Linked DNA regions of Rattus norvegicus. The protein of the gene in region 1 purifies or fractionates together with the protein of each later gene. This does not show direct contact. Links are inferred from orthologs where the notes say so. Each region holds a gene or a part of one and is shown in the gene's direction. Other genes may lie near its edges.

Region 1 (3,807 bases):
AGATGGCTCAGCGCTTAAGAGCACTGATGTAATGGTTTGCTCTAAGCAAAGAAGGAACTGACACCATTGTTTGTTCTCTCCTTGGGCTTCTTATTAGGTTTGGTTCTTTCTTTTATTTTTATCCTATCTATCTCTATCCCGATCGATCGATCTATCTATCTATCTATCTATCTATCTATCTATCTATCTATCTATCTATGTATTCTTTGGGAGAAGATTTCTCTGTGTAGCCTTGGATGTTCTGGAACTCACACCATAGACCAGGCTAGCCTTGAACTTGAGGCTTCTTGCCTTTGCTCTCAAGTGCTGGGAATAAAGGTGTACATTGCCTCCTCCACCACCACCTGCCTTTCTTTTATTTTTAACTTAGATTGCCTTATTTTATGCACATGAATGTTTTACCTGCATGTACGTCTGAGTAGTATATGTGTGCCAGGTGGCCCCAGAGATAATATCAGATCTCCTGGAACTGGAGTACAGAACCATGTGGGAATTGAACCTAGATCCTCTAGAAGGGTAGCAAGTGCTCTCAATCACTGAACTATCTCTCCAGCACCAAGTTGGGTCCTTTCTTTTATTTTTTTCTTTCTTTTAAAGATTTATTTATTTATGTATCTGGGTGTTTTGCCTGCATGTACATTTGTACACCAAAAGAGGGCATTGGATCCCATGTGACTACAGTTCTAGATGGTTGTGAGCCACCATGTGGTTGCTGGGAATTGAACTCAGGTCCTCTGGAAGAGCAGCCAGTGCTCTTAACCACTGAGCCATCTCTCCAGCCCCAAGTTAGGTCCTTCCAATAGTACAGGGCCTTTTGTGTCTGACAGGCTCTTAGAGTATCAATGGTGAGACCAAGGGCCTTGGGTTGTAGTACAGAAATGTCATGCAAATGTCCTGTGTTGGCCTGCTACAAGGAGAACTGCCAGGCCATAACTGTCCAAACTATAGGTCAGTAATCACAGATGCAGGCCGTCCCAATGGGATCCTGTCATCGTCCTTTGGGGAATGCCTGTGATGGTGGAGATGGGCTGTTGTGCCCCTGCATCCCTGGCATTGAGGTGGGTGCTTGTGATTCTTGAGATCTGAGAATCATCTTGTTACTACTCTCTTCAGCCAGTGGCTCCATGGACTCAACCCTCATGATCTGGCACATGAAGCCCCAGTCACGTGCCTACCGCTTCACGGGCCACAAGGACGCCGTGACTTGTGTGAATTTCTCCCCATCGGGACACCTGCTTGCCTCAGGCTCCCGAGACAAGACCGTTCGAATCTGGGTACCCAATGTGTGAGTTCTGGACTTCAAGGGACTGACAGCATCGAGGGACTTGGTATAAGAGCTGTCCCTCCTTGGGTCCTTATCCTGGCTTTGAGCTTGTCACAGTGGGACATGTGACCTCTGAGGTGCCATCAGAGGCTGAAGCTTCGCTTGGGCTGTCTCCTTATGTTGGAATGGCTGCTACCTGGTGTTGCAGCTCACACGAGGGTGGTGGTGGTGGGAAAAGCACTTTGTTTCTGTTGGGCAGCTCTGGCCTCTTTGGGGTGAGACCGGGACACTTAGGCCTAGGGAGTTGGCGAGAACTTTGGTGTCCTTGTAGGTTCTCATGTCTGTTATGAGTCTCCTGAGTCTGGATGTCTATCCTCAGCAAAGGTGAGTCAACTGTGTTCCGTGCACACACGGCCACAGTGAGGAGCGTCCACTTCTGCAGTGATGGCCAGTTGCTCGTGACAGCCTCTGATGACAAGACAGTCAAGGTGTGGTCAACTCATCGCCAGAGATTCCTGTTTTCCCTGACCCAGCACATCAACTGGGTCCGCTGTGCCAAGTGAGAATTTCCTGTCTGGAGAACCTGGGAGCGTGAAGGGTTTGGGGTCAGAAGGGCTTGCAGGTGTCAGCTTGTAACCTTGGGCAGGTTGTTTACCTCCCTTTAGTGTACCCCTGAGTCTTATTTTTCTGTACGGGTAACTTTTTTTTTTTTTTTTTTTCCCGGAGCTGGGGACCGAACCCAGGGCCTTGTGCTTCCTAGGCAAGCACTCTACCACTGAGCTAAATCCCCAACCCCGAGTCTTATTTTTCTAATCTGTAATATGTCAATAGTGGTTGCTGTATTGAACTTGTTGGGGGAGCATCATTGAGTTCTATGTGACACATATTAGTCAGCCATGACCCTCTGTCAGGTGTGTGGAGCACTCCCAGGCTAGCAGATAGCAGCCGCAGCAGCCACAAGTCCTCTCAGTACCACGGTGTGCTTTCTCCTTGTTCCTGAGGACAGTTCTGCCAGCTAGGTAGCATCTTCTTTAGTTTGCAGAGAGAGAAACAGGCTTCCAACAGAGCAGTATCTACTCAGCTTAGTTATACTTCAGAGCTGCTGGGTAAGGACTTGGTGTGGAGGCCCTGGCTCTGGTGTGGGAGGTGGGATGCCAGTGGCTTGAAGAATTACAGAAAACATATTCCTGCCTGTGGTTTTGTCAGCTTCTTTAACAGAGCTTTCTCATGTCACAGCTCTGCTCCAGAGGAGGGTGTCCAAGGAGCACTAAGAAACCATGAAAGTCGGAGGTTGGGGACCACTGAACTATCTTCCTCTGGAAGTTTCTTATTCTCTATGACAGAACCATTCTTATTCTGGGAGGGCCCTGCTCAGAGAGCGGGTACTGATAGGGAGGGCAAGCCAGCAAAGTTGGGTGTTAAGTCCTCGGTAGACCTTGAATAGTAAGTCTCAGGACCTCCATGTGTTTTGTTGGCCTTCATATTTTGCTGATGTCCTCATGTGGTGTTCCTGACCACCGCCATGTATCAAGCAGCACCATCTGTGTACTGCTATAGGCCATCTGTCTCCTGGGTGTTCTGTGCTACCGTGTGCTTGCTACGGGTGGGCACTGCAGAGGGTCTGTCTCACAGAGGAGGCCGCTTGTCCAGGATCACTCAAGGTATCAGAGCAGCACATGCCCGTAGGTGGTTCTCGGGTCAGGCAGTTGTTGGTACACACTTGGGAGGACTTGGGAGGCTGAGGCAGGAGGATTGCCACAGTTTGATCTACATATAGCGTTGCAGGCCAGCCAGTGCTACACAGTAAGACCCTATGTCAAAACAACAACATTAAAAAGCCTTAATGCGGGGTTGGGGATTTAGCTCAGTGGTAGAGTGCTTGCCTAGCAAGCGCAAGGCCTGGGTTCGGTCCTCAGCTCCAAAAAAAAGAAAAGAAAAGAAAAAAAAAAAAAGCCTTAATGCCAAAGAGTTCCTGGATCAGGCAATAGCACGCTAGAGGAAGTGGCTGTAGAGAACACAGTGTGGTACTCAAAGTAGTGTGACTTATGGTCCTGTCAACCTAGGTTCTCTCCTGACGGGCGGCTCATCGTGTCTGCCAGCGATGACAAAACTGTCAAGCTGTGGGACAAGACCAGCCGGGAGTGTGTCCACTCATACTGTGAGCACGGCGGGTGAGTCTCTGTCGTCCTCCCACTGCGGGTCCTGCACAGAGTAGGTCAGGGCATGGTGACCCAGGGGCCTTCAGGGGCTGGGCTGTGCATATATCAGCCCTGCTTGCTGCTCGTCAACTGAATATGCTTTTCATATGCACTTTTACCTTTTCCTTTGTAGATGGAGAGTTAAGCCCCATCCTTATCCCATAGACAGCAGAAATTTTTTACCTAGAGTTACACAATAATTTGGTCTCTTTTCCCCCTTTTAGTTTCTAGTTCTCAAAATTATAATGTGTCTTTCTGAACATTGAATCAACCCCCTAAACTGTATGTCAGAACTTAGTGTTCCCCCATGGTGATGATTTATGAATGAAAGCCTCGGTTCTCGTA
Region 2 (4,547 bases), on another chromosome or scaffold:
TCTTTACAGATGGTTGTGAGCCACCATGTGGTTGCTGGGATTTGAACTCAGGACCTTGAGAAGAGCAGTCAGTGCTCTTAACCACTGAGCCATCTCTCCAGCCCCATCAAGATTTATTATATATGAATACACTGCAGCTGTCTTCAGACACACCAGAAGAGGGCATCGGATCCCATTACAGATGGTTGTGAACCATTACGTGGTTGCTGGGATTTGAACTCAGAACCTCTGGAAGAGCAGTCAGTGCTCTTAACCACTGAGCCATCTCTCCAATCCCCCTCTCCCTGGTTTGATCTTAAGACCACGTGTTCTGTCTGGAATACCTGGAGAGTGAGAGTAGGCTAGGGTCAGGATTACTCTAGCCCAGAGTCTAAATGGTAGCCATTTGCTCAGAGAAGCCAGGCCTTCTGTATTAGGGTTTCTATTGCTGTGATGAATCACCATCACCAAAAACAGCTTGAGGAGGAAAAGATTTATTTGGCTTCTACTTCCACATGTTAGTCCATCTTTGAAGGAAGTAAGAACAGAAATTCAAACAGGGCAGGAACCGGGAGGAAGTAGCTGATGGAGAGTCCATGGAGGGGGCTGCTTACTGGCTTGTTCCCCTCAGTCTGCTTCCTTACAGAACTCAAGACCACCCCCCACGGATAGCCCCTCCCATTATGGGCTGGACCTCCCTCCGTCAATCACTAATTAGGAAAAGGCCCTCCAAGTTTGCCTATAGCTGGATCTTCGGGAGGCATTTTCTCAATTGTGGCACCTCCTCTCTGATGATTCTAGCTTATGTCAAGTTGACATATAATTAATCAGCCCAGTTTCTAACATGGAGGTGGTTCCGACCAGCCCTCAGAGACCTCAGTCTGACAGAGGGGATGAGTCCTGTTCTTTGGGACTGTTCATCTGAGGTTCAACCCTCCAGAATCCCTATTCCAGGGTGTGGGACAGCCAGGCTCTCTGGCAAAGTTTATGTTACTAATCTTCTAACAGTATAGCACTCTCAGGTTTACAAAGTAATAAATAAATGTACGCGTGGGAGCGGTGGGGCATGTTCAGGTGACACAAGCCCGCAACCTCAGTGCTTGGAGGTAAAGGCAGGCAGACCAGGAGTACAAGTTTCTCCTTTGCCTTGGATACACCGGGCCTGTCTTAACAAAACAAGCCATTACCTCTGCCACCAATAGCAACGACAAAACAGAAAAACTAAGGATGTCCAGACAGTAATGGAAGAGCATTAACTTCAAAGCACAAACGGTTTGTAAAGCTGTTCTATACAAACTACAATTTTTGTGCTCTTGAAAGTCTAGTGTAGTAGGATGTAGTAGACTGTCCCTTCGGTGAGTGCTTTCTTTCTGAGTCTCAACTGTGGCTTTAGGAGGAGAAGGCTGAAGGTACCTGCCTACTTGATCAAAACTTCCAGCCGTATTAAGATGTGAGCTCAGAGCTTTCTAGAAAGCTCCCAGGTATCTGGTGACCATAGCAACTCAAGCCAAACTCTGCGGTCGCGAGCCCCGCCCACTGCTTTGGGGCCGCGCCTGTTGATTTGCTGCTCGGGTTAGCCAATGAACGGCGAAGCGGGTTGTGTTCCGGGAGTTTAATGGGCACCGATGGTTGGGGAGGCGGGAAGAGATCTGGGAAGGGTGGGCCCTCACGGCTTGCCCGTGCGTGTTTCCGGCTCCGCTGCGGAAGGCTAGCGAGGGGAACCGTTGGGCCCGAGCGAACCGTACCGAGCGCGGGCATCGCAGAGCGCGAGTGCGGAGCTCGGAGCGCAGCACGATGGGAGGGGAGCAGGAGGAGGAGCGCTTCGACGGCATGCTGCTGGCCATGGCGCAGCAGCACGAGGGCGGCGTGCAGGAGGTAAACGACGTGGCCCGTGCCGCAGCCCTTCTCTGTGGACGGCCGAGACCTCCCCCACCCGGGCCGCGCGGGTCCCCGGGTCCCCGGGTCCCCGGGTCTCCGCGCCACAGCTTCCGGTCTGCCCACCCCGCGGGTGAAGTCTGGCTCCAACGCCGTCAGCGCCCAACACCTAGCCCCCAAAAGCAATATTCGTTGTCCCAGAGTGACCCCAGAGCTTCCGCACCCACTCTGCGCTCCACGGGTGTTTTTCCTTTCATTTTAATGGTTACTCTCCAGAGCATCCCTAATGGTTACTCCTTAGAGCATCCCTGGATCGACTCTAATGCACGTGATCTGCATCTTATCCAGAGCAGAGCCTGTCTATCAATACTGTGTAGGGTAGTGAGAGCCAGGGTGAGGTTAGCACGTGGTCTCTTTATACTTGAAACTATGCTGAGTGAGGAAGTGAACCGGAGACCTGTAGGTTAAGCTTCCTCCTGGACTAGCGTCAGTTGCCTAGTTTGCGAGGTGAAATTTAGGAATATCAGTTCATGGTTTTTTTCTTTTTCTTTTTATCTTGAGTCAGGGTTTTGCTCTGTATCCCTGAACTTGCTGTGTAGATCGAGTGACTTCCAATTCCTTCTGCCTCTGTGCGGGAACTTGGATGTGGGCCACCCTGCCTGGCCCCCTAGTTTTGTTTAAGTGTTTGACATTTTCGTGTACCAGACACATAGTAAGACTGGATCCTGGGGATGCAGACACGGACAGAGACCAGACTTCGCCTTTGGGGAGTTCCTTGAAGATTTCTTGCTTTAAAAAATTATTTGGGGGGTTGGGGATTTAGCTCAGTGGTAGAGCGCTTGCCTAGGAAGCGCAAGGCCCTGGGTTCGATCCCCAGCTCCGAAAAAAAGAACCAAAAAAAAAAAAATTATTTGGAGCAGGGTGTGTCTTAAATCCCAGCATTCAGGAGGCAGAGGCAGGTAGAGCTTCGAATTTGAGGCCAACCTAGTCTACAGAATGAGTTCTAGGACAGCCTGGGCTACACAGAGAAATCTTGACAAAAACAAAACGAAAGAAATGTATTGTGTCAGAACAGTTTCATGGGGGCAGTTCTCCCTTGCCACCGGTGTGTGGGTTTTTAGTGTTGAATTGCTAGGATTTGAGGCAGTCACTTTTTCCCAGTGATTCATCTTGCAGATCACAGTGAGCATTTCAAAAGTTTAATTCAGTGCTGGATATGATGGTGCAGGACTGTAATCCTGACACTGGAGAGGAAGAGGCAGGAATCAGGGATCTGTAGTAAGACCCCCAGATATAATAACCCTCAAATAACCCACAGGAGATGTTCAACAACCAGACCTCGTTCACACAGTGGGTATGTAGTTGATGAGCCACAAAGATGAGCTGGCATGGGTGCCGTTAATTTATTTTTTTTCAAACCAATACTGGGAGAGGTGGAAAAGCCTATTGTTGTCTTCAGAGATATTCCATTCTGTAAGTACTTGAGAGTCAGAGTGACAGGTTTACTGAAAACCAGACCCCAAGTCCCTGAGGAGACAGTCCTGCGGTCTGTCACTGGGGATGGAGTCTCCTTTAGTTTTCCATTCTGTCGTAGAGTGACCGTTGCTGTGATAAAACTTGAAGAGCAGCTTGGGGAGGAAAGGCTTTACTTCACTCACGGGTCTGTATCACCATCATCATCAAAAGCAGCTGGCCAGAATTGGAGGGAGGAGCTGATGCAGAGGTCATGGAGGAGTATTTCTTACTGGCTTGCTACTCCTGGCTTGCTCAACTCTTTTTTTATAGAACCCAGGACACAGGGGATGACCCCATCCCCAATATGCTAGGCTCTCCCATTAATCACTCCTTAAGAAAATGCCCTAGGGCTGGAGAGATGGCTCAGAGGTTAAGAGCACTGGCTGCTGCTCTTCCAGAGGTCCTGAGTTCAATTCCCAGCAACCACATGATGACTCATAACCATCTGTAATGGGATCCGATGCCCTCTTCTGGTGTGTCTGAAGACAGCTACAGTGTACTCATTAAATAAATCTTTAAAAAAAAAAAAAAAAGGAAAATGCCCTAAAGGCTTGCCTACAGCCTGATTTTTCTATGGAGGCGTTTTCTCGATTGAGGTTCCCTCCTCTCTAATGACTTTAGCTTCTGTCAAGTTGACATAAAACTGGTCACTACACATTCTAAGTCTTTCTGTAGGTGCCTGTGTTGACCAAGGACTTCTAAATCTCTTTTAAGTGGGAGAGTGTGTCTAATCTGTAAGTGTGAACCTTCTTGTCTCTGTGTCCCTAAACTGATACAACACAAAAGTAGTTGGGAGTGAGTTCACTTTGTTTCAGAGAATGTAGTGTCTAGAAGTAGGGATCGTACCCATTAGGGTAAGTTCCGGCTTCAGACTTAGAACTATTCACTGGGGTGAATGTTGTGCTAACTGGGGCAGTGCCAGCAGCTTGTGTTTTCCCCAGGAGTTTACTAAGCTTGGGCTGTCCTAACACTTGACAAGCACTCAGTGCTCCCTGCTACCTGTGGCCTGACATGACCATCTGCCTTAAGCTTTTGCTTCTTATCCTTCCCACTGTGATGGGCCAAAATAAACCCTTTCCCCCTTAAGTTGCTTTTCCCAGGTCTTCTGTTTTTGTCGCTGTTGTTTGTTTGTTTTTTATTTTTTCTTGCTTGCTTATTTTTTTAATCACAGCCTAGGG

What was found.
Region 2: the proteins of Poc1a (region 1) and Nudc purify together in Homo sapiens (co-immunoprecipitation; 3 studies listed by BioGRID and IntAct, with this or other methods). This does not show direct contact. The link is inferred for Rattus norvegicus from reciprocal best matches to the Homo sapiens genes POC1A and NUDC.

Annotation. Positions count from the first base shown.
Region 1 is NC_086026.1:115,804,166-115,807,972, forward strand, and holds part of Poc1a (POC1 centriolar protein homolog A), read left to right. Parts: intron 1-1,113; coding exon 1,114-1,285; intron 1,286-1,595; exon of another isoform or gene 1,596-1,629; coding exon of another isoform or gene 1,630-1,643; coding exon 1,644-1,823; intron 1,824-3,327; coding exon 3,328-3,435; intron 3,436-3,807.
Region 2 is NC_086023.1:151,052,409-151,056,955, reverse strand, and holds the start of Nudc (nuclear migration protein nudC), read left to right. Parts: upstream 1-1,695; 5' UTR 1,696-1,773; coding exon 1,774-1,854; intron 1,855-4,547. UniProt on the Homo sapiens protein: Plays a role in neurogenesis and neuronal migration. Necessary for correct formation of mitotic spindles and chromosome separation during mitosis. Necessary for cytokinesis and cell proliferation.